Ovis aries: one gene and its partners. The protein of the gene in region 2 purifies or fractionates together with the protein of the main gene of each other region. This does not show direct contact. Links are inferred from orthologs where the notes say so. Each region holds a gene or a part of one and is shown on either strand. Other genes may lie near its edges.

Region 1 (4,036 bases), on a different chromosome or scaffold from region 2:
AGTTCTGTGAGCCATTCTGGCAAAACATCAGACCAGGGAGTGGGTTATGGGAACTCTGATTTATAGCTGGCGGGTCAGAAACCCAGGAGGCAGGGGCAGTCCTGTGGGGCCCTAATCCTAACCCTGAACCACTGGGGTTTGCACCAGGTAGGTGCGTTAGGGTTGAACTGAAGCATAGGGACACGCAGCTGGTGTCAGATTTCCAGAACTGTTCTGTGTAGCGAAAACACACACATTTCGTGTCAGAGAGTGGGTTAGAAATAGTGTGGTTTTACTTGTAGGTTTCATCTGGGACTGGGGCTGGGCAGGGAGTGCCCCATAGAGGCTGAACAGAGGGGAAACATGTGAGTGGGTGGGGAAGGGGGTTTTCTGTCAGTCTGTGCTTTGCCCCTGCCTGAGTTACAGAGCTGCTGGATGCACCTGGGTGAGGCTGTGTCTTCCATCTCTTACCAGGAGGGTGGAACCAGGCTCCCAGAGTTGGGACCCTACACCTTGCCCTCCACCCCATAAAGAGGTCTATTTCATGCACCCATAGGACCACACCATGCTGCAGGCAAACAAGCCCCCTCCTACCCACACCAGACCCAGGAGAACCCACAGAGACCCAGAAAAGCATGCCAAGGCAGGCTCCCTCAAGGCACTCCCAGCTCACCCTCACTTCTTCCCACCCACCAGAAAGACCCTAGGCTTTGCCGATTAATTCTAATATTCTGATGGACAGAACCCAAGATTCCATCAACCTTAGAATCTCCAGGTCCCTCTTGTCCTCTTAGAAAACATCTGGGTGCATGGGTGGTTCTGTGATAAAATTCTCACCTCCCCTTTAGAAACCATCAGAAAATCTTAAGGTCAGTCTCAGGATCTGGGGGTTAATCTCGGGCACATGGAGCCAATTTCAGAACCTTCAGGTATGACTCAGAACCCTGAGATCACTCTCAGACATAGAAGACAGTCTCAGAACCTTGGATCATTAGCATTAATCTTAGAACCTTCAAAACGGCATCAGAACCTAGGGGTTCCATCTCAGACCCTAAGGATCCATCTCCGGATGTCAGACACATTGGGCTGAAAGGGACCTCTAAGACTATCTGTTTGTCCCCTTCTTAGGACAGAAGTCCCTCCCCAGGCTCCGTGACCTGGCTGTTGGCCTCTACTACAAGGAAGCTGGCCCTTATCTGCTGCCCACATCTCTCCTGGACAAAATCTCCAGAAATTCATTTTCAAGGCTGAAATCTGGCCCCTAGTCCCAGAGATTTCAGGATAAGATGTCTGCTCCCTGGGCCTGTGACTGCTGGAGATCTGGGTCCCTCTCACAGCTTCCAGATCCCCCTCCTCCCACTGGACACCCTTACCCTCAACACAGTTACCTGCTTATGCATTTCGATGTTGAGCCCGTAGGACATTTCATAGTACTGCAAAGGAAAGGCCGTCTGGCAGTGTCCATCATAGCCACGGATGTCCAGCTGCACTGGGTGACTGGGTCTTCCAACAGCCCCCAGACTCAGGGGATCACAGCAGGACCCAGAGCCTCCCAGATCCTTGGGGGCCCAGAAAGGGGGCCCAGAAAGGGAGCCCAGAAAGGGAGCCCAGAGGAGAAAGCAAGACTCTCCTCCCTCCATTCTCTCCAGGGGGGTGGGGTCACCTCAGCCCCTCAGAGATGCCCAGGAGGAGAGGAGGTATCCTTGATTTATTGTTCCAAGAGCTGGCAGACAGCCTGGAACCCCAAGCAGCCTATTTTACAGATGAGGGAAACTGAGGCCCACAGCCGGCTGGGGACATGTCCTAGAGCAGTACTGGAGTTGGGGTTCATGCCCATCATGTTTCAACTCACAGACAAGCCATCTTCCCCACTGCCTCCCACCCAGTATGACAACCCCCTCACCATGACATAATGTCGCTGCATTTCTGTCTTCTCACTGGCCAACTTCTCACACTCCAGCTTGAGGCTGGGAAGGGGACGGAACATTGGGATTCCATCCTCCTTGCCCCCCAGCAGAGACACCCACGGACCCCTTCTGGGCCAGCTTCCACAGTGATGAGATTGGCTCTCCCCACCTCCACACACCCACCCCCAACTCCCGCTCCCAGGCCGGCCCCATCCTTTCCCAGGCTCCAAGTGTCCCAGCACTGGACAGGCTGTCCTCCTCACCTTCGCTTCTACCTGGAAGCCCTCCTCTCCGCCCTGGGGTCCCTCCGTCCTCCCAGCACGCTGGTGACCCCGCCCCTCTGCCCCAGGCGAGCCTCTGGGGAGGGGCGCCCCGGTCCCCAACCCCTTACCTGTGGTACTGAGCCTGAAGAAACTGGAATTCTTCTTTGATGCGGTCGCAGATCTCCAAGATCGAGAACTTGAAGGGCTGGCCGGACTGAAGCGGGGTCTTGAGGGGGGACGCCCAGGTCTGAGTTCCAGGACGCCCGGCGCCCCCAACCTCCCCGCAGCCTGGGCCCCCACTCACCGGGTGCCTTCCCTGGGGGTACATCCTGCCGATCCGGGAGGCCCTCCGCCACGACTCCGGAGCTTGACGATCTGGGGGGGCCAGGAGAAGGCGGGGTGGGGGAGAGGCTGGGGTGGGGGGTCTGCCCGAGAAAGAAGGGGCAGCGGCGTGGGGCAGGGGACCCTGGAGTTCCCCCGCCCCCCGAGTGAGCGCGCGGTGTCGCGGGGACCAAGGGGCGCCGAGGCCCCCGCCGGGCGTGGGGCGCGCGACCGGCGCAGAAGGTCGGGCGAGCGGCGGCCGGTTTCGGAGGCGCGGGCGGCGGGCCCCGCGCGGAGCCGCCTCCCTCCGGCGGGGCTCGGCCGGGAGCCGCGGGCAGAGCCGCCTTAAGGTGGCGCCGCCGCCCCCGGCCCGCCCACCCGGCCCGCCTGCCCCTCGCGCTGCGGCCCCGGGACCACCCCCTCCCTTCCACCCGGGACCAGTAGGGAAACTGAGGCTACCGTCCAGCCCCGCAAACGTCGCCACTCCCCACTCTCCCGAGGACCCAAGAGAGAAAAACCAGTTAAACACCTAGTGACCCACTGTGAGGGTAGCTTGGGGCGGGGAAGACAGGAGGGGGCCTGAAATGGTCTTTCTGAGGAAATGGGCTTAGACTTAAGGATGGGGAAAACAGCCTGCCAAGCGCTGGCTGGAGAACCTGCCTGCAGGGACAGAGTCTAACCTGCAAAATCATCAGAGAAGGGTTGAGCTTGCGGGCAGAGCCAGGCCCCTCCACCCTCACTGGGCCTCGGTATTCGGTATTCCCACCTGTAAAATGGTCAAAGCAGGGGTTATTTTCCGACTACACACACAGGAACAGCCCTTAGCCTGCTCTGGAACGGAGTAAACTTCCAGAGATGGGAGTTGGGTTCCCATGGCCACACCAGTGGACCTGGCTGTCTCCGCTCTCAGACCATGAGCTCCTAGAAAACAGAGGTCCCACTGACGACAAATACGGATTTCTGCCATCAGACTGAGATCTCTCTCAAGGTGGGACTCCATCTCCCATTGCAGACTGCACATATCCAGTGAGGTGGGAGGTAGGACATTCTTATTCCCATTTTGCTCATGAGAAACTTCAGGGTCGTTTGTTAAGTCAATCAACAAACGTGTGGAGAGCCTAGTGTGGACCAGACACTGCTCCAGGCCCAGGAGTTCAACAGGGAACCAAACAGAGAAAACCCCTGGCCTTGTGTTAATATCTGCACCCGTGTCTGTAGATGAGCAAGCAGAAGCATACAAAAGCCCTGTTGAATTTATTGAGCACCTATGACATACCAGGCCTCCTTCTAGGCAGACGGAATACAGGATGGATGGAGAACAGATTTCTTGCCTTCTCTGAGATCAGTGGATAAAACAAGATTGTAGCTAGAAAATCATGAAAGTGTGTGTGTGTACAAAGAGGCTTTAGGGGGGCAATTATGGAGATTAGAGGGAATCTACTTATTTGGGGTGTCTGAGAGAAACCTCTTGGAGGAGGTTGACGCATGAAGGCTAAAGATGGGGAGTCATGGGAAGGAGGAAGGAAGATTCTAAAGATAAAGGATAAAGATACATGTGTGTGTTGT
Region 2 (4,080 bases):
AATAGTCAGAAAAAGAAATGCATCATCACTCAAACCCCTCTCCAGACACCAAAGAAAATCCAGTGAAGAAACAAAAATTTGCTATCCATTCCTTGAAATAACTTTGTAAGAACTCAAAACATACTACCTATTCTTAAAGCCACAGCTCAATGGCTTCCCCTGCCTGCACACCTATTATTTCTTTCCTGCCAATTTCATATTTTTTCAATCAACTTAAATTATATTGACATGTACAAAGACTAAAATTATTTACTTGAAAGTGTGTTTTGCTTATTCCATAAATTTGTATCAATTAATTCAGTTGATGGGAAGCAAGAGAGAATTTTTCTCCCTTAAATTATGTCATTTTACTTAAGAGAACTATTCCACAGCTGTAACAATGGTACTACCTCAAAGGTGAAAGCACCATAACTTTTCTATCCTCTCAATAGGACAAAAAGTAACATTTTGATTACAACTTTTCTAAAAAGATCCAAACTGCTGATTAAAGATTAGGAAAACTGTACAGGAGTTACTGAACTGTGAAATGATTTTCAACACTACAGTGTATTATGGCTAAAATTCTCAATTTACATATAATATCCTCAAACAAGTTTCAAAGAACTACTACACAAAATTATATTATAGTACTGTATTTTTTTTTAAACATGAATTTAGAAATTACCATTTGGTCCATATGCTGTACGAGTTGTTTGGGCCAGCTCTTTGCAAGCCTGTATGTTCCTGTACACAGCCTCTTCTAATCCTGAAAAATGCTGTAGAAGAAAATTTCTGATTAGGCAGGACAATGAATCTCAATAATTTCTTCATCTGTAAAATAATAGTACCTGTCTCAAAAGACTGTTGACATTATCAAATGAGATTTATGTATGTAAAGCATGGTGTTTGGTGTTCCTATGATACCAGATACCATCCTAATTCACAGATTTGTCCACAAGTTGAATGAATAAGGCATGACATTTTTAGGGACCATGAGTACCTACTTACACATCAAAACATAAAGCTTAATTTTTTTTAGTTTAGTGAAAAGTGCAGAGAAGAGTGCTAAGCCTGATTAGAGAAAGCATATGAACCATTGCAGATTATAAAAATACCTTTCCAGAGTCTACCAATTCTTTCTAAAAGCCGAAATGTGGTATGAATGTGATAAAACCTGAGCACTGTAGAGTCAACAGGTCTATGTTCAAAGGGAATTAACATATTTGCCTTATACATTTTTAGAACTAAAGCATACAGATTTTGAATTCTCATTTGAACTGAAACAAACTGTTCGTTTGTACACATTAATTCCAACGTGTATACACTGAAAACTGAACTGCTCACAGTACTCAAATTTTCAAGTTTTACAATGAACTTCTTTTAGACATGGGATTTACTTGTGAGTCTCAGATAAATTTCAAGAGCCTACTGTTCATGTGAACATCTTTTTTCTTACTGTTTTAACAAGTCAAACTCACTTCATCCTCAGTGAGTTTGGTCCCTTAGCCTGAAACATTTCTGCCTTTAATCTTGGCCACTAAGCACAGAGCTGAGTTCTTTCCTTAACATTTTATTTACTGTTCTACCCCAAACTTTCCTTTATAATTTTTTTTTAGAGGCGCACTTTCAATTTCCTTTATCATTATTTGAAATTATCCTTCTGCTTATTTGGTCACTTATTTCTGCCTCAGAATAAAAAAAATACGGCCACTTCCCTTTTAAAAAAAAATTAGTTCATGTCATTTTCAGCAAAGCTCTTTCACCAATACTTACAGTAAACCTCCTTACCTACTAGAGTCACGTTATCCCCAAAGTGCATCCTCGCCAACAAGAAACCTAGTTCCCTCAAACTGTTACCACAAATGGAACCACAGTATCTACATTCGTTTAAGCACAGCAAGTCTGGGTGACAATAAGGGAACGCAACTATTTGAACCTAAGAGACACACTTACAGCAGTGTGTCTAAGACATTAAAAAAACAAACAAAAAACCATGCTGTTGAAATTACTTTCAAGATCTCGCCATAAAACAAAAGCTTTACTTAGCTCAGGGTGTCACTTACTCTGTTGGTTACAACTATTTCCGTCCAATCTCCCCAACTGAAAGATGAGGAAAGTAAGACCCAGAGGATTAAGTTTTACCTCAAGCTGGCTAAGTTCAGAACAGAGCCCATTGGGATTGTAACTAAGATTTATCCTATAATGCACTATTTCTGCTAACTAAATGGGGAGCTCGCCGTTTCTCATTTGCAAGAGTTGCCTCGTCCCTCTCCTCCCTGGACCACCCGCTCCTGGAACCGTTTCGCAGTACTCAAAGCAACCTCACCTACGTTATTTCACCTACTTCGCGCCCCTCAAAGGAGAGCCTCCTCACTCCCGTTTTACTGACGGAGGAAAAATGCAAAGAGCGGCCTTCACACCCTGTAAGGCTACAAAGCAAAAAACGCGCCGCCTGCGGCCTCGTCGTCCACTCGCCGTTTCTGGCCGCTTGCCCCCCTCTCCCGGGTTCATTTAAAAAAAAAAACTCGAAATGCCCGGGGCCCTCCGCGGCCAAGCTCTCCAGAGAACACCTCCGTTTCTGGAATCTTCTTTCCCTCCGACCGCTATGTCGGGTGGGCACGCCGGGCCCGTTGGTAGGCTTTTCTTCTTGACTGCGGCCGCCGCGGCTCTCCCACCTCACTCCCTCTTCCTCCTTTTCTTACCTTCGCTCCCTCCTTGAGCATCTGGGCAAAGCCCGGGGCCTTGGGGACGTGGAGGGCCATGACCAGTCTGCAGGGTGCCGTTCACGCGCCCTCTCAGGAGATCCTGGAAGAAACGAGAGGCGCGCACAGCTTCCTGGGAACGTAGCGTGCGGCCGGCTCACGCCCCTCCTTTCTCTTCAGCCGGTCCCGCCCTTTCCCCCGGCGGCCTAGTCTGTGAAGCCTCGCGAGAAGGAGCAGTTAGCGCCGCCAGAACTGAGTTGACGATTCTCGAGCTGGTCGATCGATGGGGTGGCTCGATCGGGCTGGGCCTTCTGTCTTCCTGCCGACGCACGCGTAGGCTGCCTGGCGGATGTGGCTCGCTCCCGGAGGTCGTTCCCTTCGCTTAGACTCATAGGCTCTGTGCTGGGGACTTTTGAATGTTGTCAGTTTTGTCCTTGAGTTTTGCAACTCCTTCCAAGAGTAGCTTCCGTGTAAATCTTCCAGAGCTTCCCACGATATCAGCCAGGTGGGCACCCCTTTTTTCCCGAGGCCGAGGATCTGCCTTCATCCTCCAAATCTGTGGTTGAACTTGCGCTCAGACTTGGGCCCTGTAGCAGCTCTGGGGACTTGAAGGTGATAAATGAAAATCTGAAAGGAAAACTACGTACTGAGTGCTCATATGTGCCAGGCCCCGTTATTTGCTTTATGTGCGGTATCTTAGCTAGTGGTCAATCTTTTATTAATTACTTTGCAATTTACAATTTAGTTTGTACAAGATCACAGCGCTAGTAGTGTTAAAACTAGGATTTCTACCCAGATTAGATTGCAAAATGCACGTTGTTAGGCAACTGTATTCCTCTTTCCTCCTTTTCTTTTTTCTTCTGTTTTTTGGCCGCCCCACAAGCATGTGAGATCTTATTTCCCCCGCCAGGAGTGGAACCCCGCCCCCCTGCAGTGGAAGCATGATGTCTTAACCACTGGAACACCTGGAAAATCCCTTTCCTGCTTTTTCTTGGAAATATAAACCCCTTTTACTTTCCCACAGTCCTTTAAAACCTGACCTCTGTGTCATCCCACATCAGCACATGACTGATTTCAAAAGACTGAATAATGGCAGAATACTTCAAAGAATAATTTCACACAGTGAAAGTAATCCACTCTCCTAGTAGAAAATATAGACAACTGAATAGAACGTTTGGCTTGTCTTTTGTTCCTTGGTCAGACACTTGCAAATGATTTATTTTCCTTAAATCGGGACAGATTTAGTGTGTCTTAAGGAATAATCAAATGTGTTACATGTACTATAACTTTTTCTAATTAGCACTTAAGTGCATAATTATGAAAAAATATTTTTGCGAGGCATCTCTAACCAACTGGTATGTGAACCACCTTTTGGGAAACATTCAGCGATCCTCAAAGG
Region 3 (4,058 bases), on a different chromosome or scaffold from region 2:
AATGACTCGGAGTGATCTGTTCAACAGATATTTATTAAGTACCTACTATATGTAAATGGTTGTACTAGATAGTAGGGAAGCATGGTGAATGCCAAAGTCACCAGTTTTACAGGTAAGAGAAAGAAATAGGCAATGAGTAACTAAATACACAAAGAGATAGCATGACAAATGCAATGGCCAGGCTGCTGAGCTGGACTTCCAGGGGGCGTGCAGTCCACAAGATGGGCCAGGACGTTCTCTCAGGAGAGGTGACATTTAACTGTGACTGGAGGGTGAGAAGGAGCCAGACAGAGGAGCGAAAATTTAGGAAATGACTTTCCAGGCAGAAGGACCAGCCTGTGCCAAGGGCCCGAGTACAAGATATAGAGTATTCCAAAGTCCTGAGTGGCTGCAAGAAAATCAGAAGGAAGAGAGCCTGACTGATTCCCTAAAGGCCAAGGCTAAGAGGAAGAGCTGAGATGCCATGGAGAAGTTCACAATAGCTGATGCTTACTGAGTCCTACATGCCGGGGACACCACAAACTTCTTTGCCTGTACCTACCTAGTTAATCCTCACAAACTTGGGAGAGCCATGGCGTTAAGGAAGACACTGCCAGGCTGGAACAAGTCAAACTTACCAGGATCAACTATCAGAAAAAGAAATGCCAAGGTGGGCTCCTAGCTCCACAACACAGCTGCCCAAACCCTGGTTTGGCATGTCTTGGCAGGTCTGGAATATGAAACCAGGAAGCTGTGCGAAGAGCACTGGGATAACCAGGGTCTACCCTCAGTTCCCTGGGCAGTCCTGCTGAAATATGTCAAACAGAAACAAACAGAATCCCTTCCACAGGGTGGTCAGGAAGCCCTCTTAAGATATGACATTTTTGAGCAGGGGCAAAAAGGACAGAGAACACAGAGGCCAGGGCAGCTCTGAGTTTCCTCTTCATCAGATACGCTGTATTTGGAGACGATCATCCTCTCCAGCCCTGATGGGGAGGATTGGAAGGACTGATGATGAAGCTAAAGCTTCAATCCTTTGGCCACCTGATGCAAAGAGCTGACTCAATGGAAAAGACCCTGATGCTAGGAAAGACTGAGGGCAGGAGAAGGGGACAATAGAGCATGAGATGGTTGGATGGCAGCGGCTCAACAGACATGAGTTTGAGCAACCTCCGGGAGATGGTGAAGGACTGGGGAGCCTGGCCTGCTGCAGTCCATGGGGTCGCAAAGAGTCCAACATGACTGAGAGACTGAACACCAACAAACCTCTCCAGCCCCAATCAAACCCACACTAACTCCACTTCCCTTCTGCCACTGAGTCAGAGATGAGTTCATCAAAATTCCGAACCACAGGAGGATCTAGGAGGCAGGAGAATGACCTTTGGAGGAGGGTCCTTTAACAGTGACAAAACTGAATCATCAGAGATTTTCTCATAAAAGCATCCATTTCCACGGTGTCTTTTTTTCTTCACTTTTCCATCACTGCAGATGGTGATTGCAGCCATGAAACTAAAAGACGCGTACTCCTTGGAAGGAAAGTTATGACCAACCTAGATAGCATATTCAAAAGCAGAGACATTACTTTGCCAACAAAGGTCCGTCTAGTCAAGGTTATGGTTCTTCCAAGGTTATGGTCATGTATGGATGTGAGAGTTGGACTATAAAGAAAGTTGAGTGCTTAAGAACTGATGCTTTTCAACTGTGTTGTTGGAGAAGATTCTTAACAGTCCCTTGGACTTCAAGGAGATCCAACCAGTCCATCCTAAAGGAAATCAGTCCTGAATATTCATTGGAAGGACTGATATTGAAGCTGAAACTCCAATACTTTGGCCACCTGATGAGAAGAGCTGACTCATTTGAAAAGACTCTGATGTTGGGAAAGATTGAGGGCAGGAAGAGAAGGGGACGACAGAGGATGATATGGTTGGATGGCATCATCGACTCAGTGGACATGGGTTTGGGTGGATTCCGGGAGTTGGTGATGGACAGGGAGGCCTGGCGTACTGTGGTTCATGGGGTTGCAAAGAGTCGGACACGACTGAGCGACTGGACTGAACTGAACCATGGGTTTTTAGTCAAATTGCATTAATAAATTCCTGATACAATAAACGAACAAAATTGAGGGATTTGGTTTTATCCATTTTTAAAGGGAAAGTATTAATAACTGGGCAGCGGGACCCTCAGGCTGGACTCTAGGGTCCACAGGGGACGCACCTCAACCTGTACACCAACATTGGGAGGCAGAGAGGGAAGGATGTTGTAACCCCTCACTCAGCTCTAGGCAGGGTCAAGAACACGGGTTATGTTATGCGACCCCCTCAGGGGAGGACCCTCCAATTATCCGAGCCTCAGCTTCCGCATCCGTGAAGGGGGTTCATAACGCACCTGTTCAGGTGCTCGCTAAGAGAGTTAACAAGGAGGAAGTAACTGTCAGGTAAGATCCGCAGAGGCCTTCACAGGCCCAGGGCAGCCGACCTCCCGGAGAACTACCCTCAAAGATGAGATTCGGGGGTGGGACACACGGAGGGGAGCGTGCACGCCCAGCCCGCGGACATGCGAGACCACGCCCGCCCGTCCGCACTGCGCCTGCGCCGGCCTCGACTCGCGTGGCCACCCCGAGCCTGAGGCGCCCGGCACTTCCCACAGGCCCGGCAAGGACAGGCAGCCGCCCGCATGGACCGAGCGGGGCAAAACGAGCGGCCGCAGCCTCCAGGCGTCGAGCTCCCCACCCCACCCCCGGCTTGCTCACCTGCATTTTCTGTCAAATCGCTGGGGCCCTGCCGGCCACAGCCACCCGGCCCGTGAGCTCTCTACCGCGCACGCGCGCAGGCGCCACTCGCCTCCTCTCCCAGCCTGCCCTTCGCCCCGCCCTCCGGGAGAGGATAGGGCGGGGCCAGGGGAGGCGAGTTCTCCTCTGAGGCTGCGCCGGGGCAAGAGGCTGGACACGCCCACTCGCGTGACTCCGAGCTAATCCCGGCCGCTGCTCAACTGAACCTTATTAGGGCACATCTTCGGCCGCCGAATGGTGGGACAGAATCGGGGAGGTCCCCGGCAGCTAGGTGTCATCTCCAGGCACGGATCCGATGGTTTCGGAGGTCTCGGCCCAAGAAGTCAGAGATAGAAACCCGTTTCACTGATTCGTTGTTAAGATTCAAAAGGAGGCAGGATTACCTGGAATTCAGTCACTGTCCTTGAAGGACATAAAGCAGTTCGCCTACTACGTACTAAACACTATTCTAGGCTCTGCGGACGCGGCGGGAATCGCAACAAACGAAACCAGAAACGTGGACATCTCTTCACCTGGTTGAGCCTCAGGCGTTTCCTATTCGCAAGAGGACTTAGCCCTTTGCGGAGCGCAAGGGAGGCACTGAGTAGAAATATGCAAGTCTAAATTGAAAAATACAGGGGCTTCTGAAAAATACAGCCCTTCAGGCTTCTGTGTATGCAGCACTCCGAATTTGAGTTAAAGCAATGCCCCTCCCTGGACACCTGAGCTCGGTGGTGAAGTAGCAGACACAGAGAACGCAGCCAACACGTATGTAGAGTAGGCGGTTCAACTTCGGCTACATTAGAAGCACCTGTGGTTCGCTCAGTCTTGTCCCGCTCTTTGCAACCCCATGGACTGTAGCAGGCCAGGCTTCCCTGTCCTTCACTATCTGTGAGCCTTCTAAAACTGCCGCTACCCTGCGGTCCCATCCCCACATTACATTTCTAGCCATGGGACCTGGAACTGATGTTTTCTTTTTAAAATTTTTATTGGAGTATAGTTCATTTATAATGTTGTTTGCTTTCTGCTATAAAGCAAAGTGAATCAGTTACACATATATTCACTGTTTATAGATTATTTTCCCATATGAGCCACTACAGAGTATTAGTAGAGGTCCCCGTGCTGTATATTAGGTCCTTATTTGTTATCTGTTTTATACATGACATGACATTTTAGTCACTAAGCTGTGTCTGACTCTTTTGCAACGCCATGGACTGGAGCCTACCAGGATCCTCTGTCCATGGGATTTCTCAGGCAAGAATACTGCTTCACTATCTGCCATTTTCTTCTCCAGGGGATCTTCCTGACCCCT

Evidence for each region. The genes of interacting proteins can lie anywhere in the genome.
Region 1: the proteins of CCT8 (region 2) and TLE2 purify together in Homo sapiens (affinity purification with mass spectrometry; 3 studies listed by BioGRID and IntAct, with this or other methods). This does not show direct contact. The link is inferred for Ovis aries from reciprocal best matches to the Homo sapiens genes CCT8 and TLE2.
Region 3: the proteins of CCT8 (region 2) and PDCL3 purify together in Homo sapiens (affinity purification with mass spectrometry; 3 studies listed by BioGRID and IntAct, with this or other methods). This does not show direct contact. The link is inferred for Ovis aries from reciprocal best matches to the Homo sapiens genes CCT8 and PDCL3.

The regions. Positions count from the first base shown.
Region 1 is NC_056058.1:18,546,743-18,550,778, reverse strand, and holds the start of TLE2 (transducin-like enhancer protein 2), read right to left. Parts: upstream 2,801-4,036; 5' UTR 2,478-2,800; coding exon 2,454-2,477; intron 2,376-2,453; coding exon 2,278-2,375; intron 1,947-2,277; coding exon 1,883-1,946; intron 1,413-1,882; coding exon 1,368-1,412; intron 1-1,367.
Region 2 is NC_056054.1:127,698,958-127,703,037, reverse strand, and holds the start of CCT8 (T-complex protein 1 subunit theta), read right to left. Parts: upstream 2,801-4,080; 5' UTR 2,742-2,800; coding exon 2,682-2,741; intron 756-2,681; coding exon 665-755; intron 1-664. UniProt on the Homo sapiens protein: Component of the chaperonin-containing T-complex (TRiC), a molecular chaperone complex that assists the folding of actin, tubulin and other proteins upon ATP hydrolysis.
Region 3 is NC_056056.1:100,879,936-100,883,993, forward strand, and holds the start of PDCL3 (phosducin-like protein 3), read right to left. Parts: upstream 2,801-4,058; 5' UTR 2,735-2,800; coding exon 2,729-2,734; intron 1-2,728. UniProt on the Homo sapiens protein: Acts as a chaperone for the angiogenic VEGF receptor KDR/VEGFR2, increasing its abundance by inhibiting its ubiquitination and degradation.